Stegostoma tigrinum: one gene and its partners. The protein of the gene in region 2 interacts with the protein of the main gene of each other region in a pairwise test. Links are inferred from orthologs where the notes say so. Each region holds a gene or a part of one and is shown on either strand. Other genes may lie near its edges.

Evidence for each region.
Region 1: the proteins of get3 (region 2) and get4 interact in binary tests that used the Homo sapiens proteins (3 or more experiments, as listed by UniProt). The link is inferred for Stegostoma tigrinum from reciprocal best matches to the Homo sapiens genes GET3 and GET4.
Region 3: the proteins of get3 (region 2) and unm_hu7910 interact in binary tests that used the Homo sapiens proteins (3 or more experiments, as listed by UniProt). The two-hybrid records come from large-scale screens. The link is inferred for Stegostoma tigrinum from reciprocal best matches to the Homo sapiens genes GET3 and ASPH.
Region 4: the proteins of get3 (region 2) and gpx7 interact in binary tests that used the Homo sapiens proteins (3 or more experiments, as listed by UniProt). The two-hybrid records come from large-scale screens. The link is inferred for Stegostoma tigrinum from reciprocal best matches to the Homo sapiens genes GET3 and GPX7.

Annotation. Positions count from the first base shown.
Region 1 is NC_081376.1:37,652,239-37,659,694, forward strand, and holds the start of get4 (Golgi to ER traffic protein 4 homolog), read left to right. Parts: upstream 1-4,452; 5' UTR 4,453-4,497; coding exon 4,498-4,631; intron 4,632-7,456. UniProt on the Homo sapiens protein: As part of a cytosolic protein quality control complex, the BAG6/BAT3 complex, maintains misfolded and hydrophobic patches-containing proteins in a soluble state and participates in their proper delivery to the endoplasmic reticulum or alternatively can promote their sorting to the proteasome where they undergo degradation.
Region 2 is NC_081388.1:16,863,152-16,871,052, reverse strand, and holds the start of get3 (ATPase GET3), read right to left. Parts: upstream 3,079-7,901; 5' UTR 2,485-3,078; coding exon 2,336-2,484; intron 1-2,335. Other genes in the region: trir (telomerase RNA component interacting RNase), read left to right, coding at 3,123-3,398.
Region 3 is NC_081358.1:34,176,378-34,184,122, forward strand, and holds the start of unm_hu7910 (aspartyl/asparaginyl beta-hydroxylase), read left to right. Parts: upstream 1-4,643; 5' UTR 4,644-4,820; coding exon 4,821-4,878; intron 4,879-7,745.
Region 4 is NC_081361.1:64,431,287-64,438,558, forward strand, and holds the start of gpx7 (glutathione peroxidase 7), read left to right. Parts: upstream 1-4,084; 5' UTR 4,085-4,290; coding exon 4,291-4,506; intron 4,507-7,272. UniProt on the Homo sapiens protein: It protects esophageal epithelia from hydrogen peroxide-induced oxidative stress. It suppresses acidic bile acid-induced reactive oxygen species (ROS) and protects against oxidative DNA damage and double-strand breaks.

The DNA of each region.
Region 1 (7,456 bases), on a different chromosome or scaffold from region 2:
CTCTGTTTTACTTGTGGGTTTAAACTTGGGTCCAATATTAAAACCAGCTGGATGGGCAAACAGCTATATTGGCATTTGTACATTCTGGTATTCCTGAAACATGACTGAAATTTAATTTTCATAGCAACTCCTGTAAAGAAATTGATTCATTAAAATGCACATATCTCCAATTACGATAGACTTCATTGGGACCTGATTAAAGGATTCAGATGAAAGGTTTGACTGTAATTTTGCATTGTGTACTGTTTAAATGTTAATGTTAAGAACTTTTTATTGCAAGGCTATTGTAGATACTTGAATGTTGGGATATATCAATTTCAGCAAACATGATCTCTTGCATTAGATTTGTTCAAGAATGTGCATGGTGCTAAATATGCTATCATTACTAATAAACGTCCTGGCTGGTCAGATACATTCAAAATCCATTTGATGAAAAGACTGGCAACATTTCAGGTTTCAAGGTCAAATGACTTGAATGCTAATTCATGCCACACAAGCAGAGTGGTGAAAGGAACGAGGCACTTTTTTCTGGGCTTTTGCTGACTCATGAGATGTAATGGTGAAGAGTTGGTGCTCCGATGTGAGATGAAATGAATTTGCTAACCTGACGAACAGTTTTTTTTGTAATAGGTGCAACAGGGTTGTAAGGTCTTCATGGAAGGGAAAATCAGTACACACATCCCTATTGTTGGTTCAAGTGAGAGACAAAACATCTGTGGATTCCCTATTTTGGAGTGCACCATGTTCCTTTTGTTTCTATCTTGGGGATATGCCCCACAAAATAGCAAATCTTTGCTTGGTTAGATATCTCCAAGCTTCTGGTCAGAACAGTTTTTATTGAGCTTTTGGAGAGGTATGTGTTGATGAGCAGATGACTCTTCAATTTCAAATTTTGTTAGTGTAGCTGAGGTCAGTTGTCAGTGCAGTTGGTGAAAGTTGACAGAGTCTAAGCAATTCAGGAGCTTTTTGGATGACAAGGATAATATGCCTTAAGAGTGCAATGAACATGTCCAGTTGACGAACTTTAAAAACACTCTTCATAGAACTCGCTGTTGTGATCTTGTTCTTTTCTGTAATGGGTACTGTTTGTCAAAGCCAACCTGGATTGTAACCTGTACTAACAAGGTGTAGAGCTGAATGAACACAAGCAGCATCAGAGGAGCAGGAAAGCTGATGTTTTGGGTCTGGACCCTTCTTCAGAAAGCTACTCTGCTGCTTGGCCTGCTGTGTTTATTGAGCTGTGCACCTTGTTATCTCAGATTCTCCAGCAACGGCAGTTCCCACTGTCCCCTGTAATCTGTACTGCCACCTATTGGAGTGATGAGCTTTGACTGCAAGTTCCAGCTTGCTCCATTAGAACCTGTGCAGCAGGTTAAGAATTGCAGAAAAATAGCTTCTGTTGATGGGATAACCTTTTGGTCAAGCTAGGTGGCAGTGCATTATGTGGAAATGTAACCATCAAACTGCAAAATTAATCATATAAGCTACAATCTATATTTTTGCATCACATGTTTGTTATGTGAAGCTTTCTATTTTTAATTTTTAAAATGGAGTAGCTTTGACAAGAACTATCCTTATTTTTCCAATCACTAGTCATTCTCTGAAGGGTTCTCTGATCAGTCTTTCTGTTATGACTGCATTTAGGATATTTTAGAACCTGGTTTAATTCAGTCCAACAGCCCTATCCAGCTAGTTTTTAGGCATTTCAGTTTTACACTAATTTAAAAAATTGATTGTTGTTTAACTCAGTTTAGAGTTGTAAGAATGTAGCTCGATGTCTGTGGTTGTCAACAAAACATTAGCACCTAGCACATTGACAATGAAATCAGCATCCCAGGTTTGGCAATCTCTGGCAGTAATCTGGTCTTTATCACCATTTGAATGGTGACATGACTGCACTCTTAACTGGGGGATTCCCAGTAGACAGTTGTATTGATTTCTTCAGTGTACTGGGGGTTTCTCTTGCAGATTATCAAGAAACAAAAAACAAAATTTTTACAGAATTTATTTTGAAAGTACTTGCATAAGACTTAAGGTAGAATATAAAAGATTCTGATTGATCTTTTTCTCCTGAAATGAAATTACATTGAAATATAACAGTACCTCACAATCTCTTCTCATGGCTAGTTTTGTTCATCAAACTTTAATTGTTTGAAACTCATTTACATCTGGTTGAATCTTGATCATGGAAGGGATATGACTTAGTCTTTCACTTTTTAGAATCTAATTCGCATTTATTGTGATTTTTAACAGTTTGGTCATGAGATGTGGGCATTGTTGGCTGGCTAGCTTTTATTGACCATTTTTAGTCTCCTTGGAGAGAACCTGTCAGGTCTATCTGCTGCCCTTGATCTTCTAGAAAGAAGCAGTCATGGATTTGAAAGGTGGTTTGAAGGTTCTTGGTTGAATTTCTGCACTACAGCTTGGTAGATGGTATACACTACTGATATTGAGGGTCAGTGATGAAGGGACTGGATGCTTGTGGGTATGGTGCCAATCAAGTAAGCTTCTTGGCTTTAATGTCATGTACCTTCATTGTTGTTGTAGCTGCAATCATCTAGGCAAGTAAAGAGCATTCCAGCAAACTCCTTATTTGTGCCTTGTGGATGGATGGGCTTTGGGGAGTCAGGTGATGGATTACTCATTGCAGAATTCCTAGCCTCTTCTGCCTTCATTGCCACAAATTTATGATTTTCCAGTTCAGTTTCTGATCACCAAGGATGTTGATCATGGGAGATTTAGTGATCATAACTTGATTGAATGTCAGAGGATGAGGTTAGATTCTCTTTTTTGGAGATGATCATTGCCTGCCGTTTATATGGTGCAAAAATTTTGGTCACACTCGCCTGGATATTATCCAGATCTTGTTGCATTTGGACATGGAATATTTCAGTATTTTGAGTTGCAAATGGTGCTGAATAAGGTGCATTTGTTGGTGAATGTCCCCAGCAGCTGCAGATCATTAGGTCCAGAGCACTATCTTGAGGCACTCGGGCCTCTTAACAAGCAGTGGTGATGCCTCGAACCTGGGCCTCTGGCTCAGAGGTAAAGTCCCACATGTTCCAGAGGTGTGTAATAGCATCTCTAATCAGATTGATCAGAAAATACCTATCCTAAGCAGCTTTCCTTCCCACATAAATTTGGGTCACCACTCCTGAAGTGAGCCTTCCCTGTGATTGTTAGCCCAAACATTTGTTCCTTGTGTAAGCTTTGCTCTGTAGATGTGAGTACCAACCTGAGGGGCAAAACCTAACCAACTCCACCACAGCCCTCTGAGTGGGTGCCTATACTCTGTCCTTGCATGCCACAATTAATCTTTATTCTAATTCTAAAATCTCTTGACCTGCAATCAGCTTGAAAGCTACAGTCTGGTTGGCTTGCATCAAAGACAGTTCTACGTTTAAGACTTGTCTGGTGCAAAATTCCTTAACCCTGTACATTATTAACTGCACGTGGTTCCAAAGGTATTGACACTTAAGAGAATAGAGACCTTCCTAGAGTAGTGTTTTTAAGGTGTTGAGAAAACAGCAGGGTTCTTTTAAAGCAAGTCTCAAAGAGCAAGAGTTTTCAGTAATGTTGGGGCAGTTCCTATTATGTTTTAAGAGTTCATTAAGTCTGCCAAAGTCAATATTATTTGCCTCAGCAATAACAACGCTCACGAATCTTTACCCTCTCTGTGACACAAGTAACTGGGGATGGGTTCGAAGAAAAATGCTAGCTAGCCAGCGATGCCCACATTACACAAATGAAATAAATTTTTTTAAAAAATCAGTGCGTCATATTTCTTTTACCACAGATACAGCCCTTTATACCTACTCCCCTCCACGAAGGGCGAAAAAAAAAAGTTGAGGGTCTTTAAAAACTTGGATCCGCTCTAGCTTAACTCAATAGTGTTAAGATGAGAAGACCCAGGTGTCTACTAGAGAAGGAAGAGATTTAGGATTTATACACACCTTGCTTCTAGCTTGCTCCGCTGGCTGGAACAACGTTAACAGTTTCCCCCAGCCCCCTTCAAGGCGGCAGCACATCGTGGAGCTGGAGCAGTGATAATGGGAACTGCAGATGCTGGAGAATTCCTAGATAATAAAATGTGAGGCTGGATGAACACAACAGGCCAAGCAGCATCTCAGGAGCACAAAAGCTGACGTTTCGGGCCTAGACCCTTCATCAGAGAGGGTTCTGGAAAAACCAGAACCCTCACCCCATCCCCCTCTCTGATGAAGAGTCTAGGCCCGAAACGTCAGCTTTTTGTGCTCCTGAGATGCTGCTTGGCCTGCTGTGTTCATCCAGCCTCACATTTTGATGTCTTGGATTCCCTATATTCTAGACGTGTTAGATTTCCAGCGGCTGCAGCACCGCCTCTTTCAACCCGACCTCCGCTGTGATTTTGAAGATGACTGGAGCCCGCGTTCTTTGAGCGGCGAAGGACGCCGTAGTCGTGACGTCGGCGCGCCGCGCATAAGCCGCTCGCCCTTTGACCTTTGGCTGCGGATAGCAATGGCGGACGGCGAGGTGCCCAAGTGCTGCAGGAACCGGGGCGGAGTCCAGCGGGTCGAGAGCAAGCTCCGGGCGAGTGTCGAGAAGGGCGATTACTATGAGGCGCACCAGATGTACCGGACGCTCTTCTTCCGGTGAGTTTGTCGGTGTGGAGACGGGGAGGAACATGGCCACGTTTGGGAGAGAGAGACGGTGTACGCGGCTCCGCCGGGCGAATCCTCCGTTCTCCTCCTCCTGCCCGATCCCTCTCCTCGAGCGTCGGCACCTTCCAGATCATTCTTTTTCCGCGAGCCCCACTCAACCTAACCTGCTGGCAAAGGCTGCGGATCCGCCTATGCTCCGGCCTCTTCCCCAGTCGATTGGTCGCTGATTGTCGACCAGCCATTGTGACGCGAACCGCGTGATTGGTTAACTGTCCTATCGATCAAGAGACTGATAGCATTCTGAATTGACGCGGGGGCGTTGGTGGGAGGCTGAGCAGCAAGAGTGCAGACTTTCGAGGAATTTATGGAGGTTGGTTGGTTGGATGGAAAACAAAAACTGCAATTCAGAAGATGTCCAGTAGCAATACAGTGCAATGTAAAAAGAGCTGATAAGTGACGGAACAAACGATTAGCCCAGAAGCGTAAGTGGGAAAAATAATCGTCACAGCTTGGAAGTTCTGTGGATCCTGGAAATAAAGAGAGAAAATGATGTATATATTCAGGTCAGGCACATCCAAGGAGAGAAAAAGTAAATGTTGATAGCCTTGCATTAGAACTGGAAAAGTTTTTAGAATTGTTTTGTGTTTTAGGTAGGTACAGCAAGAGTGAAAGGGTGACTAAGTGACAAAAGGATGCAACAGTGCAAAGTCAAAGGAGATTGCAGCTGGTATGACTGAAGGACCAAAGCCTAGTTCAGTGGATATGTAAATGGCGTATCAACATGACCATCAGTTTTTATACAAAAACAAAAAATATCAATTCTAAAAACTCAAAATAAAATCAGAAAATTTTGCCAATATTCAATTGGTCATCCAGCACCCAAACAAAAGAGAAGGATATTAGTGTACCTGTTGACCTTTCACCAGAACACTTCATTCAGAATATTCTGATGTTAGTTCACAGGCCTGTATTGTTAACTCTTTCTCTCACCACTAATTCATATGACTTGCTGAATATTTTTCTGGCACTTTTTCTGTTATTATGTTGCCATCACCGCTATTTGAAAACAACTGGGGTCAGAAATTGTGAAGTGAAATTACGAAACTTAGTGTTGATTCCAAAAAATTAGAATTAAAAGTTTCTAATCAGAAGGTGAGATGTTTTTCCTCATGTTTTAGTTGACCGTCATCGGAATAATATTGGAGGCCAAGGACATATCTGTCAGTGTGAATGGGTGGAGAACTGACAATGTAATTGGAAGCTTAGCGATCACATTTGCGCACTGATGGTGGTGTTCTGCAAAGTGGTCACCCACTCAGTGTAGAGGGCACCACATTGTGGGCAGATAATATAGTGTACTAAATTGAAAGAAATAAGTAAGTTACGACTGGCATTGGAATACTGGATAATGAGAAGGAAAAAGGAAAGCTTTTGTTTCTCCTTTCCTCACATGGATATGTGTTGTTGGAAGGAGAGGGGGTGATTGGAAAGTGTACCAGGTTCTGGTGGAGGCGATTATCTATTAAGCTAGCAGAAAGGGTGGATGGGCACCTTGTGCGTTTGATGGCGATATCATGCTTGAGCTAGTGAAATGGAAGATGATGCATTTAATTTTAAAATTTATGAGGAAAGTGAGGTTGAGGAGAATTCTCATGCAATTCTGGAGAGATCCAAATAAGAACCGAAGAGCAAGAAATTGAGGATATGCCATTAAGAAACCTGCAAAACAAACTGGAGAGGAATTGTTGGGTAAAGGGATTTAAATCATCCATGGTATGTTGAGCAGATTTAATGATAAGTTTGAGAGACTGGACAATGAGTGGGAAAGATAGAGTTGCAATAAGAAGAAATCGGTTCCACAAAGCAAAGAGACGCTGAAATGATGGATCTGCCAAAACAATTGCATTTGTGGATGAGGAATGAGGTAGAAATGCCAAATGGGTTTCGGGAGCAATGAGGTTGGCAATTTTCTTCTACTGCTTCGAGAAGAGATGGGGTCAGTAGTTGTTTGATAATGGGATGACACCCAGTGGAGTAGAATGAAATGTCAGAGAGCTGAAATTAAGCCAGTTCAAGAGATGACAACAGACTAGTCGGACCGGCCTTGTCCTCTGTTGTTTAATCCTGTGAGCCACAGGCCGTTCCTTGGGATACTATTTCAATGACAAAATGAAAGGAATTTAATCTCCAAAAAGTTTAATTTTAATTTAAGACAGAAAAGTAACAGGCCATATTTCAGTCAATGTTTTGATTCATTTGATTCAAGCTGACATTCCAAAAAGAATGAAAATTTAAGGGAAAAAACCAGTTAGGCACATAGGTACCTCTGGGCTTTGAATAGAAGCTTGTAGTACAAAAGCAAGGAAGGTATGGTGAACCTTTTGCAAAACACTGGTTTGGCCTAGACTGGAGAATTGTGCCGAGTTTGATGCATTACATTTTAAAAAACATATGAAGACATTAGAGAGGCTGCTGAAAAGATTTTCAAGACTGCTTCCAGGCCTTCAATTAGTTGCGTAAGCTAAAGAAGCTGAGATTATTCTTCTTGGAGAAGACAAGGTTAAAAGTTGTTACAGTAGGTTCAAGGTCATGAGTAGATAGAACTGTCCCTGTTGGCAGAAGTGTCAAAAACCAGAAGCAATCAGTGACAAAAGAACCAAAGCAACATGAGGATAAGCTTACTTACGCAAACACGGAATGCACGGCCTGAGATAATGATCTAGACAGATTCTGTTCTGGCTTTCAAAGTGGACTTAGAATCACATCATTTTCTTTTCTCTTTAGAAAATTGTTTATGATATAATTTTGCTGTAATG
Region 2 (7,901 bases):
GTGGCAGCATCCGTGGTGAGAGAAACCATTAACATTTCTAGCTCAATGTGACTCTTCTGCAGGACAATTAATTGGTTTTGATACACAGAGGCCAATTCCTCACTCCACAGATGTTACCAGACCTGCTGAATTTCTCCAGCATCCACTGAATTTTACTTTTACAAAAGTGTTTTGCTGCAATTTTCAAGGGATCTGGAAAGAGCATACCAAGAGCACTTTATACAGTTTTGGTAACTGTGCTTATTGAAGGGCCCATTTTGCTTTCAATGAAGTAAAGCTTAGTAAACCGATTCCTGAAATGCAGGTTGCCTCACGTGAACGATTGGAGAAGAACAAGCCAATAATGCTTTGGTATTTAGTTGAGATAATCTCGTTAAAATTTATTCACAGGACTAAACATATTGGATACTGAGGTTGTGCCTCATTAATAGCAAGTGACAGGGACCTGAGTGTACTACCCTAATGTGGTGAAGGGAGATTCAATCAAGATATACCAAAGGTCAATCGGATTATCTGAGAAAGGAAGAATGTGCGGGGCTAAAGGACAATAGGTGGGGTGGAAGAGTGCAGCAGTAGGTGAATTAGTCCTTCAGATAACTAATGTAACCATGATGGAGGAATGACTTCCTTCTTTGCTGTAAAGATTCTGCAATCTATGGATGGAAAGTCAAGAACTGGGTGGCATAACCTCCCAATAGAGAGCCAACCATTTTTGATGGAGAAGTCTCTTCACTTGAAGAAAAATTGATTTTTTAAAAAAATTCAACATGTCAGAGTCCCCTTGACAATATTCAAGACTGAGATTGACAGATTATCACATAGTTGAGTGAACACAGAAGATTGACCGTATTTACTTTGAAAGGTTGAGAAAGCACAAACAGGTGTCTGATCTAAACCCACTCCTATTCTTCATTTTCAATTCAAGATCATAAAAGGTTTGAGGATAGTGCAAGAAAAGTAGTACCGATGTAAAAGATCAACCATAATCTGGTTGAATGGTGGAGTTGGTACAAGGGGAGGGGGGAGAGCTTTCTTCTGCTGCATTTGCCACAAATGAAAAAAAGTAAAAGTTATACTGACACACACATACACATGCAGTGTGGGGAAAGTGTATTGGTTTGTAATTTCCACTCAACATGGCATTCCTTTTGCTATCTCATTCACCAGTTGAATTTAGCTTACTTTTAATAACAAATATTTTATGCTTACATTATTTTTAAACCCAATGGCCTACCCTATAAACATTTGTTGAATGGAAGACCATTAAAGGAGGATTTGGAATTTTCTTGTTTAATTGGAAGCAGTTACTCTGTTGTGGGGGGGGGGGGGGGGAAGAAGAAGAAGAAGAAGAAGAAGAAGAAGAAGAAGAAGGAGAAGGAGGAGGAGGAGGAAAGAGAGAGAGACCTGTTATCGGTATTTGGGGCAGCACGGTGGCTCAGTGGTTAGCACTGCAGCCTCACAGAGCCAGGGACCCAGGCTCAATTCCAGCCTCAGGCGACTGCCCGTGTGGAGTCTGCACATTCTCCCTGTGTCTGCGTGGGTTTCCTCTGGGTGCTCCAATTTCCTCTCACAGTCCAAAAGTCTGCAGGCTAGGTGGATCAGCTATGCTAAATTGCCCGTAGTGCTCAGGGCTGTGTGTGTGTGTGTGTGTTAGAGGTGGTATGCTTCAAGGGGCGGTGCGGATTTGTTGTGTTAAAAGGGCCTGTTTCCACACTGTGGGGAATCTAATCTCTAACCTCAAAAGCAAAAAAATAGTTTGCAGGGCACTAAGTCCACGTGACCAAAGCTCCAATTTAACTGTACACACCACAACGTGCGTGTGCAAATTTCCTTTGTTTAAAAGGTCACTGGCCTTGAAACTTTAACTCTACTTTCTCTCCACAGCTACTGCCAGACTTGTTGCGTTTCTTCAACAATTTCTATTTTTGTTTCAGACCTTCAGCATCCTCACGTCTCTGCTTAGTACTTCCCTGGCTAATCCTCAAAAGACTAACATAGTTTTCAACTTGTTTCCAATCAATGGCTCTACAAAATTTAACTCGGGCGCCGTGCCATGGAACACCTGCCGACTTCATATTTCACGTTAACGTGGCCATCGAGTGCGCTCACCGCACACCTCCTTGCGAGCACTCCCCAGCGAAAAGATCAGAGGGAGATGCATAACAGACACAAACCGCTGGATTTCGGGCTCTTATGGCATTGTGGGAGTATCGCTGAGTCCGGAGACCCGTGCTCAAGTCCCAACTACTCCAGAGGCAGCTCTGCACAGACTGATACAGAAAACATCTAAAAATGCTGAAGTTAGTTGGTAAAGGTGCTCTCTCCTCGTTAATACCTGCACGTGGTTTTGCCCACGCCTCCTTTCCCACCCACAAAGATCCATTTGAGGGACTTCTGCTCGATGATATTGCACAGGGTGGGTTCCAGGGGCTCCACGTCTATAGCATCCTCGAACTCCTCGTCCATCACCGCTGCCGCCGCCATCTCGGTGTTACCACGTGACTGTGAATCGATTGAGGGAAAGAACCCCCCCGACCCCGAACTTCTTAATTTATTTGTCGTTAATTTTTAAATAATTACACGCTGACATAATAGGCGGGCTATTTTAGCGTTATCAAAAGACACGAAAGGACCGGAGGAATTTTTCTTCACATTCGTGACATTCCGCGCCCCAAAACTCCACGTAACCCCCGTCCTACCGGCCTCCATCTTCAACACTGATTGGTACAGCGCCGCTTCAGTAAAACGCGGCGCGATTGGCTCGGCTGTAATATTTGAATTAATATCTTCTTTTAAAACTGGCGCCTGTACGTTTCCTGGTCATCAAGTTTAAAATGTTACGCATCTTTATCGTTAACATCTATTTTTTTTTAACCAGCGGGGGCGGGAAATTTTCGGGACCGTTGAAGTGCGGTCATGCGCAGTTGTCGGCCAGCGAAGATGTCAGGCATCTCCCCAACTCCATCGCGATTGGAAAGATAATCGGTTGGCCTTGGCACTTGTCTTATTGAGCTAGTGGTTTGTTTTTGTTTTGAGGTGCTGATTTGTTCAGGCAGTTGTCCTTCAGCTTCCCATCCTCTACCTCTGCCCCAGAAGCCTCAGCGGCCCCTCGTTCCCGCAAGATGGCGGAGAGGCGGAGGAGCCGCGAAGTTTCTGGAAGCTCCGAGCCGAGCGAAGCGGACGGCACCTCGGAGAGCAAAGGGGTGAACGCTTTCGCCAACGATGGCAGCTTCATGGCGCTCTTCAAGAAGAAGATGGAAGAGGAGAAGCTGAGGAGTGAAGGGGGAGCCGTGCCGAGCGGCGGGGACATAGACAATGGAGGCAAGAGGAGTGTGGCCGCTGGCCAGGAGCAAAGTGCTGAGGCCCAGAGCGACAGGAAGAAAAGCGTGCTGAATATTGTAAGAGCGAGAGATTTTGCTCTCAGTTTGCCTCCTGGTTAATGAGCAGGGCGGGGGAGTTGGTGGAAGATGCCGTTAGTTCACTGCCCCCCCCCCCCCCCCCCACAAATCACCAAAAAATGTTATCCACTGTCTTAACAGAAAATACAGATTGATTCCTTCATTCGACATTGTTAGAGGCAATATGTACAGTCTTTTACAAAGTAATGCTACCTGGTCAGCCTGCGTTTGCAGATTGATTTCTTCCTTCCTTCCTTCGGCAGTATTAAGAGCAATACCTGTAGTCTTTTACAAAATAATGCTAAGTTTACAGGTCAATTATTTCCTTCATTCAACAATGTTAGAGGCAATACATACGGTTATTTTGCAAAAGAAAAATCATAATGACTGCCCCCCCCACACTCGCTTAAATTTACAAATTGGTTCCTTCCATAATTATGTTAAGTGCAATATGTACAGTTCTTTATTTTACAAAACAGTGCAACTTATTTTCTTGCCTGAATATGTTGATTGACCCTTCCATCATTCAACAATGTTAGGGGCAATACGTATTTTACACAAAAGTATGCTGCCTCTTGCCTGAATTTACAGATTGATTCCTTAATTCACTGGCTATGAGAGTGATGTGGGATGATTTTTTTGAAAATTTGTATACAGAGATAGTAGGAACTGCCAGTGCTGGAGAATCTGAGATAACACTTACTGAGGCTGGGTGAACACAGCAGGCCAAGCATCATCAGAGGAACAGGAAAGTTTTGCATTTCAGGTCAGGACCCTTCTTCAGAAATTGGGGAGGGGAAGGGGATTCTGAAATAAATAGGGAGAGACGAATAGAAGATGGATAAAGGAGAAGATAAGGTGAGAGGAGACTCAGGTCAAAGAGGTGGGGTTAGAGCCAGTGAAGGTCAATGTAGGTGGGGAGTGAGGGAGGGGATAGGTCAGTTCAGGAAAGATGGGCAGGATGAGGCTAGTAGGTAGGAAATGGGGTGGGACATCTACCCATTAACTTCACCCCGCCTCCTTGACCTGTCTGTCTTCCCTGAACTGACCTATCCCCTCCCTCACTCCCCATCTACATTCATTCACCTTCACTGGCTCTAACCCTGCCTCTTTGACCTGTCTGTCTCCTCTCACCTTATCTTTCCTTTATCCATCTTCTATGCACCTCCTCTCCCCCTATTTATTTCAGAATCCCCTTCCCCTCCCCAGTTTCTAAAGAAGAGTCCTGACCCGAAACACACAACTTTCCTGTTCCTCTGCTGCTTGGCCTGCTGTGTTCACCCAGCTTCACACTGTGTTAAAACAAAAACATACTCAGCTTTGTGATTGCTCCCTGAACATTATAAATCCTAAGTGCTCAATTTCTGCTTTTTTAAAAAGAAACTCAGGTAAAAACTGTATATTTGAAATGAAAGCCGCAAATGCTGAAAATACAGGGCCCTGTCATCATCTTAAAAAGGCAAAGGCTATTGATTTACACATGTGACTGCCGTCAGAACTGAGGATTGATGGATTGGTGTCTTGTGCAACCTGTTATCCAGTGAATAGTGCTTCCCTCTCTTGGGTCACGCATTCAAGACTTTGAGCTTCCTTACAATGACTTAATATATTTCTAGACTGGTTCTATGCTGTCTCATGAGATTAAATATTAAACCTGCTTAATGAATAAGCAAAGGCACTGTAAATTAAGGGCCCATTTTTGTGGCTTTGTAGGAAAAGTAGAATTCGGGATTTGCAGATTCAAAACTCTGAAAATGGCAGGACAAGTTGTAGAAGAGGTTTTAATGTGATCCTGGGCTTTCTACTTGGACACTGGAGTCATTGATTCAGTCTTGACTCCAATTCTGGGATTGTACACCACAGCAAAGATACCAAAATCAAAGATGTTTTGAAACATACACACATTTTCTTTCTTTTGAGATATTGGCTGACCTGTGCATTTCTGGAATTGTTTTATTAATTAATGTTTCATGTTTAAATTTGATCTTTACTTACTCCAATTCAATCATAAGACTTTCGAAGCGATTTTCAAAATTTCACAATTGTTCTCAGTCTGGCGAAGGTTTAGTCTGAAGCAAGAATCCTTTTTTCTTGCTAAGGATGCTAAATTTCTTAATTCACCATTTACATTTAAATTAACATTACTAAATACAAAGATAATGAGTTTGGACAGTGTAAAAAATAAATGCTGAAGTCTGCTTTGTAATTCTACAAGATTGCAACTGACCTACGCTGCCCTAATAGTTTTTAATTCCTTTATTCAAAAATCCATTTATCACCAATAAGTGAACTTGATGACTGAGCAACCACAGCTGTATGGCTGAGAATTGTCCTCTTGGCCTAATGTCCTCAATATAAACAATTGTTTATATCAGTTTTAGTGAATCCCATGTTAAAGCCCACAGTTGATTACCGGTCAACCTTCAAGGATATGGAAGCCAAGTTTGATCTACCCTCAACATTTACTCACTTCTGAATAATGTAAAGTCAAACACTGTGTTAGGCTTTCCATTTCTTCTTTTGTCCTGGTGCACCAGCTTTTAGTAATTTTGTGTATGTGCATGTATAAATGCTATTATCTCACTTTCTGTCACTATTTGGAAACACTGAGTGAGATTCCGTGCTGCAGGTTCTTGTTCTAATATTAAGAATGCAACTGTACTGCTTTGTCAGATTGCCTTAAGTATTTGCTGAAAGGGGGCCTCTGACAATATCCCCATTACCCCAACATTCACAACTTGGTAAAGCTTCCTGATGGTTTAAATAAAACATAAAAGTTTTAATTGCCGGTATAGTAGCACATAACTGCTTTTCTCTTGAAAGCTGCTTCCATTACCTTTGGCATCATGATTAAATTGAGAATGTTACACCATGGATTTCGAGTATCTTTGTAGCAATCTGACAGTTCCTTTAAGTGATCTTTGAGAGATTTACTCAGCTTATTTTACTTAATCAGAAAAAGAAATTCACCACTCTTCTGGTTGTAAAAGTGCATGTTTGATATCCTTGTTCACGTAGCCCCATAGATTCAGGAGAAATATGAGTACTTGGACAAGACTTCCTAAAATTTATCTCTATACAATACTCTAGTGATGAGCTTATTGGGGTCTGGCCCGTACTGATGGGGAAAACATATCTTCTTTCCATTGCATATGTTAAGAATCATATGAGAAATAATTCAGACAGTCTCAATCCAGTTCTACAAGATATTAATTGCAATCTGACTCTGGTGTAAGAAACGGAGAGATATCATCAATCTTCTGATGTTTGACCTACAATTGATCCAGACTGAAAAATACCTTATTGGTCACACATTCCTAACACTGGATCGGGGAGCATTTGATGCTGACACTAATTTCCTGAAATGTAAATTGTACCGTTCTCCAGCACTAGTACTTCATTTAATGACTCAAAAGCTTTTGTAAAAATAATAAGGAATGTATGTTTCCCTAGTGTCATCCAAATCCTTGTTAGCATGATGCTGGAGAGGGTGGGAAGAGAAAAATAACATCAGAATATCAGTGCTACAATTAAGTGTGCATCTATTTTGTTGTTTTGGAGTATGTCCAAATTCAGTGCCCAACTGACGCAGCATAACCTCATTTCAGCTTGGGAGTCACAGCCACTTTGAACAGAAGTGTAAGTGCAGTGCTCACTTTTATTTTCACAGAAGCACTGCTGAATGATTTTATAAGCAGTGTCAGTCTCTAGGAACTCACGTGAGAGTGAGCAACAGTATCGTGGCTGATTTTGGAGCAAATGAGAACGTAAAGTAGCTTCTGTAGCGGGTGACCTCATTCGTTGAAGGTTAAAAATGTCTCTGAAAGTCTTGTGCAGGAAGGCTGCTTGATTCCAATTCTGATTTCATTGAGAGAATTGGTGTATGTGAGGGAATGATTTTTTTATTTTCAATTCTTTGGGTCAACCTTTTGGTTGATGGTAGAATGCTGTCTCACTTAATATTTTTAATCTTCAGCCAAAATATTCCTTCATAGACTTACTTGGAGTACAATTCAGTATGTTCAGGCTATTAACAGCATTTCTAGAAATTTTGGCGAAAATTACATTCCTGAATAATTTAGCTTCAGAGCTTAAAAGTCCTTTTCACATTTCCAGAAATTCTGTTCTGGAATAAATGTTCAGTTTTTGGCTGAGTGATTTGTGGATGAGTGATAATAATATTAGCTCGGTATTAGCATAATTAAATCTGACCATCTTATCACAGTCAGCAAGTTGTACAACTACAAGAAGATTTTTCAAACCAAAACTAGTATGGCTATATCTGGCTATAACTTTTACCGGAAAAATTACACTTTCAAAATTACCGTTGGCACTGTCATAGCAATATTTAGGGACTCAGTCTTAAAAATTACTGTTGTACTCTAATGTGAAATTATTTTGGAGATATCTATTGGATAAGCCAAGTGATGTGGTATAATACAATACTTGGGCAGTTTTATTTCCCAGTTTAATTGAATTTCAGCAAATAAATGTATCTATAAA
Region 3 (7,745 bases), on a different chromosome or scaffold from region 2:
GCGGGTGGGGGGAGTCAACTGGATGTCACGTCCAGATTCCTGATGGGCACGTCGAAGGACGCCAAACTGCTCGACGTCTTCAGCACCCCTGCATACGGAGCGCAGCGGAGATACACCTGGTCGCGGCCAAACGGGTCATTCCGCTCAAGGATAGACTTCCTGTTTGTGTCACCAGCATTCTCAGTCAGGTCCACCGGCGTCGAGCCGGTGTTCTTCTCTGACCACTGCCTCCTGCTGGCCGACTGTCACTTACAGGACGACCAGCAGGCCGGCAAGGGGACGTGGAAGCTCAACACGACTCTGTTGGCCCTAGAAAACGTTGAGGAGCTTAAGAGGGAGTACGCTGGTTGGAGAACCATGAAACCCCTCTTTGAGTCTCCGGGCAACTGGTGGGAGACAGTGAAGGAGAAAATCAAGAGGTTCTTTGTCCTTAAGGGTGTTCGGAAGGCGAGAGAGAGGCGGAGAAAGCTGTTGCGACTCCAGAAAAGGATGCAGAACCTGCTCCTTCTGCAGTTGATGGGGGTCGATGTCACGGAGGACCTCCGCGAGGTGAGGGGCCAGCAAGCCTCGCTCTTCGCCGCGGAGGCCTCCAGGATAACCTTCCGGTCCAAGATCCGATCCGTGGAGCAGGACAAGATGTGCTTGCGTTTCTTCTTTCAGAAGGTGCACAAGGAGAGCTCTGTGCTTAGCTGGCTGAAGGAGGACGATGGCTCGGTGTCGTCGTCTCGGCCTGACCTTTTGAGGATCAGCAGATCCTTCTATGCCGGACTATATGACGCGAAGCCCACGGACAACACGGCCTCCAAGTCGTTCCTGTCGTCTATCACGGAGGTCTTAGACGACGGCACGAGGGACTGGCTGGACCGGCCGATATCCCTGGACGAGTTGACCAGAGCCCTCAAGTCCTTTGAGAGGAATAGAACTCCCAGGAGCGACGGCTTACCAGTCGAGCTGTATTCCGCTCTGTGGGACCTTGTCGGCCAGGACCTGCTGGAGGTGTACAATAGTGTGCTTTGGGCAGGGGAAATATGCAGGTCCATGAGGAAGGGCATCATCACCCTCATTTACAAGAGTAAGGGGGAGAGGGAAGAAATTAAGAATTGGCGTCCCATTTCACTATTGAACGTGGACTACAAAATCCTGGCCAAGGTCATAGCCAACCGGGTCAGGTCTGTCCTGGAGTCAGTGATTCACCCTGACCAAACCTGTGCTGTGCCAGGCAGGAAGATCGCTGAGAGCCTCGTGCTCATCAGGGATACGATCGCCTACGTGCAGAACAGGAGGGTGGACACCTGCCTCGTCAGCCTGGACCAGGAGAAGGCCTTCGACAGGGTCTCTCATGCTTACATGAGGGATGCCCTCTCCAAATTGGGGTTCGGTGAGGGCATCCGCATTTGGATCCGGCTGTTCTACACCAACATCATTGGCGCAGTCTCGATCAACGGGTGGGAATCGGACAGTTTTCCCATCAGATCTGGAGTCAGGCAGGGCTGCCTGATCCCTCCTGCCTTGTTCGTGTGCTGTATGGAGCCCTTCGCCGCATCCATCAGGAAGGACGTGAGCCTGAAGGGCGTGACTATCCCAGGCAGCGGAGGCCTTCAGGTCAAGACCTCCCTGTACGTGGACGACGTCGCTGCCTTCTGCAACCGATTGTCGGACGGTGAGTAGACTGTTGGACATCTGCGGCCAGTTTGAACTGGCCTCGGGTGCCAAAGTCAATAGGGGTAAGAGCGAGGCCATGTTCTTCGGGAACTGGGACAACTGCCCCTTCATCCTCTTCCCTGTCAGGACAGACTACCTGAAGGTGCTGGGTGTTTGGTTTGGTGGAGCTGGGGTGTGCACTAAGACTTGGGAGGAGCATATCACCAAACTGAAGCAGAAGCTGGGCAGGTGGACGCTCCGGTCCCTCTCCATCATGGGTAAGAACCTGGTTGTCAGGTGCGAGGGGCTTTCGGTACTGTTGTATGTGGCGCAGGCCTGGCCTATCCCCTGGACCTGCACCGCTGCGGTCACCCGGGCCAGCTTCCACTTCATTTGGGGGTCGAGAATGGACCGGGTCCGCAGGGACACCATGTACAAAGACCTGGGAAACAGGGGAAAGGACGTACCGAACACCAGCCTCGCCCTGATGGATACCTTTGTATGTGGCTGTATCAAGCTGTGCGTAGATCCTCAGTACGGAAACACGAAGTGTCACTACTTACTGAGGTTCTACCTGTCCCCGGTATTGCGAAGGATGGGCCTGGCCTCGTTGCCACGGAAAGCTCCAAGTAGTTGGACCGTCCCGTACCACCTGTCCTTCGTGGAGAAATTTTTGAAAGGAAACACCTTTGACCACAAGGCCGTCAGGCAGTGGTCAGCACGTAGTATCCTCGAGACCCTTCAGGAAAAGGAGAGGGTGGATCCCGTCGCGTGGTTCCCCACGCAGACTGCCAAAGTCGTTTGGCAGAATGCCTCATTGCCAGAACTTTCAAACAAGCACAAGGACATTGCTTGGCTGGCGGTGAGACGGGCTCTGCCAGTGAGATCCTTTATGCATGCCCTGAATCTCTGCGCCACCGCACGCTGCCCTCGAGGTGGCTGCGGGGGGGACGAGACTGTCTATCACCTCCTTCTGGAGTTGCCTATGCGCAGAAGGTCGGGAAGCGGATGCAGTGGTATTTGTTGAGGTTCGTCCCGAGCAGCTCCGTGACACGCGAATCCGTGCTCTACGGGCTGTTTCCTGGGACGCACACCGAGACCAACATCAACTGCGCCTGGAGGACCATCAATGCGGTGAAAGACGCTCTTTGGTCTACCCGCAACTTACTGGTCTGCCAGCTGAAAGAACTGACCCTGACCGAGTGTTGCAGACTGGCGCGCTCCAAGGTCCAGGACTACGTGCTGAGGGACGAGCTAAAGCTTTGGGTAGCTACTGCCAAGGCACGGTGGGGAAAGACCACCGTATGAAACCCCTCGTCCAGAATAGAAAAAAGGGCCCTATCTGGTAACTAGGCCCAGCCGGCGCCTTCCCCAACTGGTCAGGGGGCCAACAGGGACTGTGCAGGGAGACGACCGCCAGGGTATTTTCTTTGCTTTGTTTTTTTCTTTGTTTTGTGTTTTTCCTTTCGTTGGTGTACGTACCCCCTGGGTAACCCGGAGCGGCTTGCATGACTGGGTAGGTGTATAAATGTTTTACTTTTTTGTACATTCTATGAATAAAGTATATTTTTTCAAATAAATGGTGACGAAAAGTCTGAAAACGAACCTTCCAGCTCAGCGAGCAAACTCACATCCAGAAACTCAACCTGAGCTACAAATCTTCTCAACACTCGCTAGTAGATATTTCTATTGAACCTGTTTAGAGGTGTTATGACATGCCTCTTGATCAGATGAGAGTTGAACCCAAGCCTCCTGGGTCAGAGGTTAGGATACTAGCATTTCACCACAAGAGACCTCCCTATTTCATCAATAAGCAGGTTGCATGGTGGCTCAGTGGTTAGCACTGCTGCCTCACAGCACCAGGGACCCAGATCCTTTTCCAGCCCTGGGTGACTGTGTGGAGTTTGCATATTCTTCCCACGTCTATATGGGTTTCTGTCAGGTGCTCTGGTTTACTCCCATAGTCCAAAGACGTGCAAAGCAGATGGATTAACCATGCTGAATTGCCCACAGTATTCAGGGATGTTCAGCTAGGTGGATTAGCCACAGGACATGCAGGGATAGGGTATGGGTGTGGGTGGGATGCTCTTTGGAGGGTCAGTGTGGGCCTGTTGGACCAAAAGGCCTGTTCCCACACTTAGGAACTCTCCTGGCCCAGAGGCCCTGTACAACCACTGTACCGTAAGAGCCCTTAAACATTTTATAACCAACCTGTACTGAGATGTTAAAAACAAAAATAGAAATTGCTGGAAAATCTTCACAGGTCTGGCAGCATCCATGGAACGAAATCAGAGTTAACATTTTGGATTGAGTGACCCTTCCTCAGAGCTGCACTGAGGTGTTGACTCTTTGGATGCAGCTGACGACCGAGCGGCGCTGGGAAAGCTTGAGGCTTCAAATAAACCTGTTGGTATGTAATCTGGTGTCATGTCACTTCTGTCCTTCCGATGCAGAGTCACTGGACTCGAAAAGTTAACTCTGAAACTTTCCACAAATGTAAGTCATTTCTGCTGATTTTCTCCAGGAAATTCTGTTTTTGTTTCATAATACCGCACAGAAATATTTCAGATGTCCAGCTCTTTCAGTCATATTACTGAACAGAAATTTATTAGCCCATAACCCACGTCTCCTGGCCTAGAGCGAAGGACATTGCCACTACTCCACAAGAGCTTGCCCTCGAGTTTGGAAAATATATGTTGATACTACGAGATTACTACACGATTCTGATGTCGGCGGGATTTGAACTCGAAACTCCTGGATCACAGGTAAAGATTCTTGCAACACGCCACCAAACCAAAAGGGGTGGGGCGCCAAGGCGGCAGCAGCTCTTCAGCTCCTGCTGTCGGCCGGTGGCGCTCTCGTTCGAGGTTTTTCGGCTTCCATGTTGCCACGTTCGATGGGCGCGGGGGGCGAGGCGGAGCATCCCGCTGGGAAGCCAATAGCAAAAAGAGCCTGACGGGAGACCTACGATCGATTGGTGGAGGGGGCTGTCGATCAGCCTGCGGCCACGCTTTCCCCACCCCCCCTTCCACGGCTGCGGAGGGATTTGGTCTTGGGGGTCAGGTGAGGACTAACGGCCGCGAGAGCGAGTTTTGTGTGTATGTGTGAGAGAGACGCAGAGTTGCCCGGCTGTCGCCGCATCCTTCTCTATCTGCTGGCACGTTTTGAACGAGTGAACCATGACTTCGAAGAACAAGACAGCTAACAGCCGTTCTAACCCGTCAGGATCCAGGAAAGGTGAGGGGGATGGGTTTGACGGCCGGGCCTGGGAGGGGGCGAGAGGAGGTCCTGCCGCTGCTCGGCGCGGGGCTGCCGGATCCGGTATTCACCCCCACCCGCTATGGGAAAAAGACGAAGGAAAGTTGGAGCTTTTACCCCCCATCCCTCCTCTGGAATGGGTTTCCCGCTGCTGTACCCCTTTTTTTCCTACCCGACCCACTTACCCCCCTCGCCCATCTCCCACCGCTAACGTACTGTCAAATGCTCCTTGCTCTGGTTTGCTGGGTGTGTAAGACAGGGTCCGCCCCATGTCCGTGTGATCATTGCTTTTCATGCAGCGTTTGTGCTGTCTTTCGGATCGATTATATGCTACTTCTTTTCAAAGGTCATTGATACATCTCAGCTCTGCTTTTATATCCGTGTTTCATTTATCAACATTTGTGGTCTTTCTTTTTAAAACTGGATGTTAGAGAAGATACGTGGTTCCACTTGCATAATTGTTAATTCTTTCAGTTTCTCCTTTTGTAGAAACTGAAGTTATAACCCATCCTGAACTATATAGGAGCAGCTGGGTTTGCCCGATTCCCTTATACAGCCTGCACATTTATCTACTTTTCTTTCTAGATAATTAGGAATTGGACAGTTACATAGCCCGTGTAAGGCCATTAGAAATATTAACAGTGGACCCTCAAGCCTTCTCTACTGTTCAGTTGGATCATAGCTGATCCAACACCCCTGCCCTACTTTCCTGCCTTTTCCCTATGATTCCCTAACTGATCAAGAATCTGTTTAACTCAGCCTTAATTTGATTTGAATTTATTGGTGTCATATGGCTCTAAGTACAGTGAAAAGTCTTGCTTTGCGAACAGTATGGACAGATCATAGCAAACAAGGACATACAGATCATAGAGTGCTTAGAGCAAAGCATACAAGGTTACAGCTGCACAGGAGATTTGAAGTTAGTCTGTTTAGCAGCCTAATAACAGCAGGGAAGAAGCTGTTCTTGAACATGCTGGTGCATGTGTTCAAGCTTCTGTATCTTTTCCCTGATGGAAGAGAGTTGTAGGATCTTCAGACCTGTAGATTTAAAATATACACAACGACTCTGTCCCCTCAGTGCTCTGTGACAAGGAGTTCCAAAGACACTCAGCCCTCGAGAGAACAAATTCCTCTAATCCCAGTCTTAAATTGGAACCTTGTTATTCTGAGATCTGAGCCAATCCTGAGCCCTCTGGCCCTGGACTCCCTCATGAGAGAAAGTATGCTGTCAGCATTTACCATGTCAAGACCCTTAAGAATTGTATATGTTCCAATGAGGTCACCTCATTTTTCTAAGCAGTTCCAACCTGTTTAACTACATACTCAACAATTTTGAGTCTAACCATTGGCTACATTTAAAAACAAAATGGTTTTTCTTCTGTCACTCTGATTCTTTTGCTATTCATCTTGTATTGATGCCTTCTGGTTCTTGATCTTTTGCAAATAGAATGTTTCTCTATCCACTGCATCCAGATTCCTCAGGATTGAACAACAGTCAAAACTCAAAGCAATCTTTTTGAAGAACAACCAATGAGTCTGCCATCTGTTTGCATGACTAGTTTCTTATCCTTGGAAACAATCTCTTGTCTGCACCTTGTCTAAGGTCTTCGTACCTTTCTTCAGGGAGATGTCAGCTTTGTCGACACAAATTCACTTGAGGCTGAATCAGTGCTTTTAAAAAAGCTTTTCATAACTAGAACACCCCTAGCATAGCATAATCCAAGTCTGCCACTCTGTTGGGACTGAGTACCTGCAGACTTTGATTCCTTTTGTCCAGAATGGAAGGAATAGCTGGAGAGCCATAGGTGGGTGTTGAGTGCTGCACAGTGTGATTTGCCTTGTGTGTTGATCTTGATTATATTGTGCTTATTTTTTGTGATCTTTATACCTATTTATAAGCAATTCCCATTTATATCACTTTTATATAATTGTAATATGTAGTTGTAACAGTTGGAAATGCCTGTTGTTCACTGGAAAAGGACATGGGTGTAGTTACAATGCAGTGTGGAGCTGGAGGAACACAGCAGGTCAGGCAGCATCAGAGGAGTAGGAAAGTTGATGTTTCGGGTCGGGACCCTTCTTCAGAACTGTTCTGAAGAAGGGTCCTGACCCGAAACGTCAACTTTCCTACTCCTCTGATGCTGCCTGACCTGCTGTGTTCCTCCAGCTCCACATTGCGTTGTCTCTGACTGCAGCATCTGCAGTTATTGCTATCTCTTGGTGTCGTTTCGTCTGGGTTTATAGTATGTGTAGTTTATATAGTAATGTTGAGACATTTCAGTGTGATTCAGAAATTGTTTACAAATCATGGGTGTTGCTTGATTTTAAACAACTCGTCGATATTTTTGAAGGCAAAAGTTTATTGCATAGGCAATGAGGAAACTCAGACTTTGAATGTGAATGTTGAAAAGTGTTACATGTATTCTGTTCAAATGCTGCAATTCCTGTGTGGAGAACTGGCTGCTGAGTGGGGGTGCTTAAGGATGTTGTTGACCTGAATTTTCAGAAAGCTTTAGATATATGGTTTGATTAATGAAAATGAGAACTTCTAAAACTAAAGAGACCTATGGGACATAATTTAAAAATTGTGAAAGGATATGAAATTGGACTGGAAAGTTGACGGAAATGTATGAATTGAAATGTGATTAGTCCTTTTATCAGTGAAATGTATGTGAGCTGTATTCTGTATTTTATAAAATGGTATATTGCAGAGAAGGAAGCAGAAAGTGACAGATTGTCGCTAATTGGAACTGAATGTGGGGAAGGCAGAGGTTTAGACCGAAGGAGAATAAGTCAGAATATTTTGTGAATTGGAAGAAATTGGTTCAGCAGAGACTGGTATACAA
Region 4 (7,272 bases), on a different chromosome or scaffold from region 2:
CCTTTACATTTTGACACTTAAAGGAAGCATTAGTGGCAGCTGGAAACAATTTGTGCTGATTCTTCCTGCTGCAGACATAGGTCTAGGTAGCTGAAGAAAATCGGCTTTAGAAATTCAATCAAAGTAAACACTCTGTAAAAACAAAACAAAATACATCTTGGTGCTATTGTTCTCATAGATTTGACTGTATGAAACCAGAACAAAAGCTCTATAAAAATGAAGCATGTTGTTATGGCTGTACGAACAATCCAAATTATATCAAATATGTGCAGCATATCAAATATGTGCAGCAGCAAGCCACTTAGTCCAAGTAATCCATGCTGCTGCTTATTATTTCATGAGGTGAAGATGCTGCCGGTTTTACCCATCCCTAATTGCAGTTGAGAAAATGGAAGGGAACTGACTTCTTGAACCACTGTTCATGTGGTGTAGGGACACCCACAGTGCTGTATGAACAGAGTTCCAGTATTTTGATTCACTGATAATGCAGAAACTGCAACATAGTTCCAAATCAGGATAGTGTTTAGCTTGGCAGAATACTTGCATATCTAAATGTCCCCATTCATCTGCTGCCTTTGTCCTTCCAGGTGGTAAGGTTGGCATGTTCAAGTGTGCTGTTGAAGAAAGTTTGGTGAGTTGCTGCAGCACATCTTGGAGATGGTACACACCACTGTCACTATATGTCAGTGTTGATGGAAGTGAATATTGAAGGTGAGAGTTAAAGTGCCCCTCAAATGAGCTACTTTGTCCTGGATGGTGTCAAGTTTCTTGAGTATCTTGAAGATGCTTTCATTCAGGAAAAGGGAGATTATTCCATTACATTCCTGAATAGTGCCTTGTGGATGGTGACCAGACTTTGGGGAGACCGGAAGTGATTTTTTTTGCCACAATTCTCAACCACTGACATGCTCTTGTAGCCACAGTATTTATGTAGATGGTGCAATTCGGTTTCTGGTCGATGATAAGCCCCGGAAATTTGATCATGAGATTCAGTGACAGTAATATTGTTGACTTGCGAAAGTAGATGACAGGATTCTTACCTGTTGAAAATGGACACTGCCTGGCACTTATCTGGTGTAAGTGATACTTGTCACTTATCATTCCAAGCCAAAAAGTTGTCCAGATCTTACTACATATGGGTTCAGAACATTTCCTATTTGAGGAGTTGCAAATGGTGCTGAGAACTGTGCGGTCATCAATGAACATTCCTTACTTTCTACCTTATAACGGAAGGTGAGTCATTGATTAAGTTGTTTAGGCATAACTCGTTACCCTGAGGAACTCCTGCAGTTATATCCTGGAGTCAGGTAATTGACCTCCAAAATCCACAATTTTGCTCGTTATCATTCCAACCAGAGAGTTTTTTTCCCCCAGTTGGTATCGAATTAATGTTTGTGAAGGCTCCTAGATGCTAAACTCAAACCAGTACTGTCTTGATGTCAAGTACAGTAATTCTCACCTTACGTCTTGAGTTCAGCTCTTTTGTACATGTTTGGGTCAAGGTGGCAATAAGGTTAGAATCTGAATAGCTCTGACAGAAATCATACTGAATGATGTTGAGCATTTTATTGCTGTATAAATGCTGCATGATAACACTGCCAACAACACTTCACTGATGATTGAGGGTAGACTAATGGAGTAGTAATTGGCAGGGTTTAGTTTGTCCTGCTTTTTGTGGAAAGGACACACCTGGACAATTTCTGACAGCTGTACTGGAGTAGTTTGGCTTGGGCCACAACTAGTTCTGGAGCACAAGTTTTCAGTACTACTGCCAAATTGTCAAGCCCATTACTTTTGCCCCAGATAGTGTTTTTAGTTGTTCCTTGGTATCATATGAAATGAAGTAAATTGATTGAAGACTGGCATCTGTGATGCTGATGACCTGAGAAGGAGGCCAAAGTGGATCATCCACATGACACTACTGGCTGAAGATGGTTACAAATGCTTTAGCCCTGTCTTTAGCATTGATTTGCTGGGCTTCCCTACCATTGAGGATGGGGATCTTTTTGGAGACTGATCGCCCAATTCATTGTTCATATATCTACTGCTATTCATGACTATATGTGACAGTAGGACGGCAGAGTGGCTCAGTGGTTAGCACTGCTGCGTCAGTGCCAGGGATCCGGGTTTGATTCCACCCTCAGGTGACTGTCTGTGTGGAGTTTGCACATTCTCCCTGTGTCTGTGTGGGTTTCCTCTGGGTGCTCTGGTTTCCTCCCACAGTCCAAAGATGTGCAGACTAGGTGGATTGGTGATGATAATTTGCCTGTAGTGTTCAGGGATAGGTGGATTATGGGGAATGGGTCTGGGTGGGGATGTTCTGAGGGTCAGTGTGGACTTGTTGGACTGAAAGGCCTGCTCCACACTGTAGGGATTCTGTGAATACTGCAGAATTTTGATTTGATTTGTTAGCTGTGGGATCAGTTAACCCTGTCTATTGCACGCTGCTTATAATGTTGACGGTGCAAGTAGTCCTGTGCTGTTGTTTCACTAGGTTAGCAGCTCAGTGTTAAATTTGTGTGGTGCTGCTCCTGGCAAGCCCTCTTGCACACTTCATTGATGTTGTTCTCCTCTTGATGGTAATGGTTGAGTAAGGGAAATGCCAGGTTATAGATTGTGGTTGAATACATGACCAGGCTGTTGTTCTTGTCAGAGAGGACATTGCATACCTTCAGGATGTTTCACAACTTGTGTTTGGATCATATTGTTTATTCATCACCAAAGCTGACTACCTTTTTAACTTATAGCAAAACACTGTTTAATAGTGGGCAAGTTGGGGGTGTTGAGAATAAAATTCAATATCCAGTATATTGCTTAATTATTCGTAATATGATGAAGACACACTTTTTTGAGGATTCATGTTTAAAAGATTGTGGACAGTTATTCATTTGGAGTTCTGGAAAAATACTTTCTCTTTAAAATGGTTATCACTAAAATGACATTGGATCATTTTATTTCAAGACTTAGAATTTGCATGGCTTAATCGAATTGCTTGGACTTATTTACTGATAATCAAATAGGTTTATGGACATCAGTAGTTTTGTTTGGATATTGTTTAGAGTTCAGTAGGTATACAGCCTATGCAGCTTGTCCTCTCACCTGAGGAAATCTTGTTGGAGGGTCCAGTGTGTGATGATAGAAACACTGATTTAGCTGTTCTCCTGAAAAATCCTCTGCATCATCAACAATCCCTAAATAGCATGCATCTGCAAAGTTCCCTGTTCTGACTATATTTGACAGAATACACACTGAAAGCTGTTGTGTCCGTTTCATACCTTATCCCTTTTCCTTCGAAATTAAGAATTATTGGTCAAATTTGATTTCAAAATTAACCACTGCCAAGAACGTTTTTGTTTTTAATTTTTGTTTGTATGGATTGTATTTAGAAGGGTAAATATTTGTAGTTTCCTTTTGAAAACGTATGTTAATCAGCTTTACATCTTTGAATATGATCTTTCACAGTAAATGAAAAATATTGACCCTCTCTGATGAAGGGTCTAGGCCCGAAACGTCAGCTTTTGTGCTCCTGAGATGCTGCTTGGCCTGCTGTGTTCATCCAGCTTCACACTTTATTATCTTGGATTCTCCAGCATCTGCAGTTCCCATTATCTCTGATCAAGAATATTGTTGTTTATTTAATAAACCTTTTTTTAAATTCTATTCAGATTGAACGTATAAACCATTTCAGAACTCACTGAAGTAGAATCAAGTCATCTCAAACCTGAGGGACTACCTAAAAATTGATAGTACTGAAATCTTTATTTATCAATGTAAAAGTTCCCTTTACTTTATGATGCTCTTCTATTAGTTATGTCCATTTACAAGGGGCCATTTATGTTGGTTTCATTCGGCGACATTAGTATTAGTCTGTATTGGACAAGAAAAAGCACACGTTTTGAGAAGTTGGAGCATATTATCCCCAGGAAGTGGGATTCACGGCTAGGAATGACAGTTCGGCCGTCACGATATTCTTATCTGCTGAAATTAAAAGCTATGAGTACTTGAGATTTAACAAATATGTTCAAGTGCTAAGCAGACAAAAGGTGAGCTAAACCTTATTCCGAATCCAGGAGATGTGACTCGACTTGTCCGACATTGATGATTCTTTCAGAACGGTGGATGGATCAAAAACAACTAATTGAAAAGTGAATGATTCTTCTGGGCGACCGTTAAATCTTTGGAGTTCATTACGACTGTTTTGCAGCACCGCCTTACGTCAGGTACGAATGGCTGATCTGTGTGGGAGACGATTGGGAACGAGCCCTGTTGCGGTATCAGAGCCAGTCAGAAATGCAGCAGTCAGCCCAGAAACAGCAGGCGCCAAGCAGAGCTGTTTCTTTCTCACAACTCAGCACCCGTTTGCTGTTCATAGTCATGTCACTCGCAGCGATCATAGCTCTGCTGTTATTCGTCTGGCCAACCGAAGAGAAAAACAAAGATTTTTACTCATTTAAAAGTGTGAACATTAGAGGGAAGCTAATTTCACTGGAGAAGTACAGAGGATCGGTAAGTTTGACAACTCCACCCTATCACTAACCGATCACGGAATTAGGACTGTGCAAACTCATGAAGCCTCCAGCTTTACCCAACTAACACACGTGAATGCGGAGCCCACATCCTATTCCCTACTTGACTGTGATTGAAACAATGGAATTTGCTGCCCTTTAATCTGTAATTCATGGGGAATCATGGGGGACCCTTTGAGCAGAATTGTATACGTGGCATCGTAATAAAGTAGTTCAACTATTCTCTCTAAACGTATTTGCTCACTGGTGTATCGTTTTTCCAAATACTGTACGGCTACGAAAAACAGTTCTACTTGAAGTAAGCAAGCCAGTTCATTCATTGTTGTTTAAGTTAACTTTAGGTTAACAGCCTATTCTACATCAGACGTTAGGACCATCAACTGCAAAACTTATCCTATATGAACCAATGCAACACAAAACCAATATACAGCAAATGATGGAAATTGGAAATAAAACTACAAACATGCAGGAATTACTTAGGTGTACCTAAGAAACGAGTTAATTTTCGTGTCTGTGAACTTTAGAACTTTCATCCTGCCTGTAGTATTTGATGCAACTATTCATTGAGTTCACCTCCTGTAGTTTCCCCAGTCATGTAGTATTTTCCCCTGGTGTTTGTGTAGTGTTCTTTTATATTTTCAATTTTTTAAAAAGATGTTGCACTTAATATGCTCTGCAACCCTTTCAGACAATGCTTTCAAGACCAGAATAATTCATTCATAAAACACCCACAGTGTGGAAGCGGGCTATTCAGCCCATCAAGTCACACCAACCCTCCAAACAGCATCCCACCCTATCCCTGTAACCCTGCACTTCCTTTAGCTAATCCATCTAGCCTGCATAGCCATAGACACTATATATGCAATTTAGTATGGCCAATCCACCTAACCTGCAGATTTTTTGGACTGAAGGGAGAAACCCACACAGAAAGTCACTCGAGGATGAAATCAAACCTGGGTCCTTAGAACTGTGAGACAGCAGTACTAACCACTGAGCCACCATTCCGGCACTCTGCATAAGGTTTCCTCAGGGCACCTGTTTAATGTGCTAATCAGCTTAAATCTTTGTCCTTTGCTTTCCAACCCTTCCTCCACTGTTCCTTACTTGGTAAAAGTCCTTCAGGAGTGTAAACCTCTCTACTGATTTCTCCATCATCTCTTCGGTACCGCAGCATCTGTGGAAAGAGAAACAGAATTAACGTATCAATGGCAGTATAACTCTTTTGGCTAAGATTGTTCAGGTAGCTAGTCGAGGAGTTCAACCTGGCAATGACTACAAGGGTGGCTAAGGCTGCCCCGGTATCATTAGAGGTTCAATATCGATAGAGGAAATCAGACCTTGAGGCCAAATCTAATTAGAGGCTTGTTGGTATGCATTCCCACAGTGCTTCAGAGGAAGGAAGCAGGACTCCTGGTTTGATTTACTTGCGGATGAGTTAGAGGCTGAACAGTTTCTGAGAAGGACTGAAAACGCCCAGTGATTTGGTGATCGAGGACTGAATTGAGGATATTCAGTTTGTTGTGGCATCCAGAGGCCTTGTCACAAGTGAGATGGCAACATTCACAATGGAACATTAGCACAGAAAAACCCATTGGCAAATACTGGGAAGAGGTTCACATGTTCAAAGAAGTGTGTAGTGGATCTTTGAGTGCAGAGACCAGTAGTGTTGAGGGCAGTAATAGCCTGCGCAATAGTAGTGCTTTCATGATTTATAAGCACATCGAAGGAGAGGACCCAGACTGCATATCCTCAGAGGTAGTGAAATGGGTCAGTCATGTAGTCCTCCTGGCTGTCTTCTCCAAATTGCCTTAGGGACAAGCAGTTGAAGGACTGCTTAGCAAAATTTGTGAGTGATGGGAATTTGCAGGTAGAGTTAAGGAAGCATAGTGGTGACAAGCCTGTAATGTCCTGTGAAGTGCAGGATTATGTCATTCAGATATTTGAAAAGATTGAAGGAGAGAGGCTGCCATTGAGGAAGTGACTATTGGTGCAGAAGGGGATAAAAACCTCAGGCTGTAAGCATAAAATGTAAGCAGAACAAATTGCTGCATAGCACCTACAGATTCAAATCTTGCTGCCCTGACTCTATGGTAAGTCAATGGCCAGTCTTGCACAAGGGCCATTCCCAAGTGGTGTTGGAGTTGTGATGGGACTTGACATTTCAAACAAGACTGCCATCAGGCATCGACTCATCATTCAGTGCAATGGTCTTCCCTTCTCATCAAACATTAAACGATTTAGGCCTTCCATCAAAAGCCAGTCTGAAAGCATTGGGGAGCAGTGGGTGTGTTGAAGTGGCATTCTTTCAGGTAAGGTAAGGTTCTTTCAAGTAGAGCCTCATTACATGCAGAGTGATAAACTTCCCCCACAGCAAGCATGAAATTTGGCAAGTAGAAGTCTCATGCCTAATTGATACAGGAGCAGAAGAATCAATTGTAACTAATTTTCCTGAGACCCTCTTACTGTGAAGTACTGAGTATTGAACATCACGTCTGGGTCTCTGCTTCACAGGAGAAACCATTGTCTTCTTGGTTGCAATAGGCTCAGTCTCATTTTGCATAGCTTGGTTATCTAGTAACTCATGACCCCACCGATACTCCATTTGGTGTACAAAAGTTGACACTACTCATGGTATTAGTCCAATGTGTTAAAAGATATAAGGTCCTCAGAGCGTGTCTATAATGACTGGCATGAGCAACACATTGGTGTTTGCAGGTGGGGCTCCAAGATCTTTGACCTTGCTCCA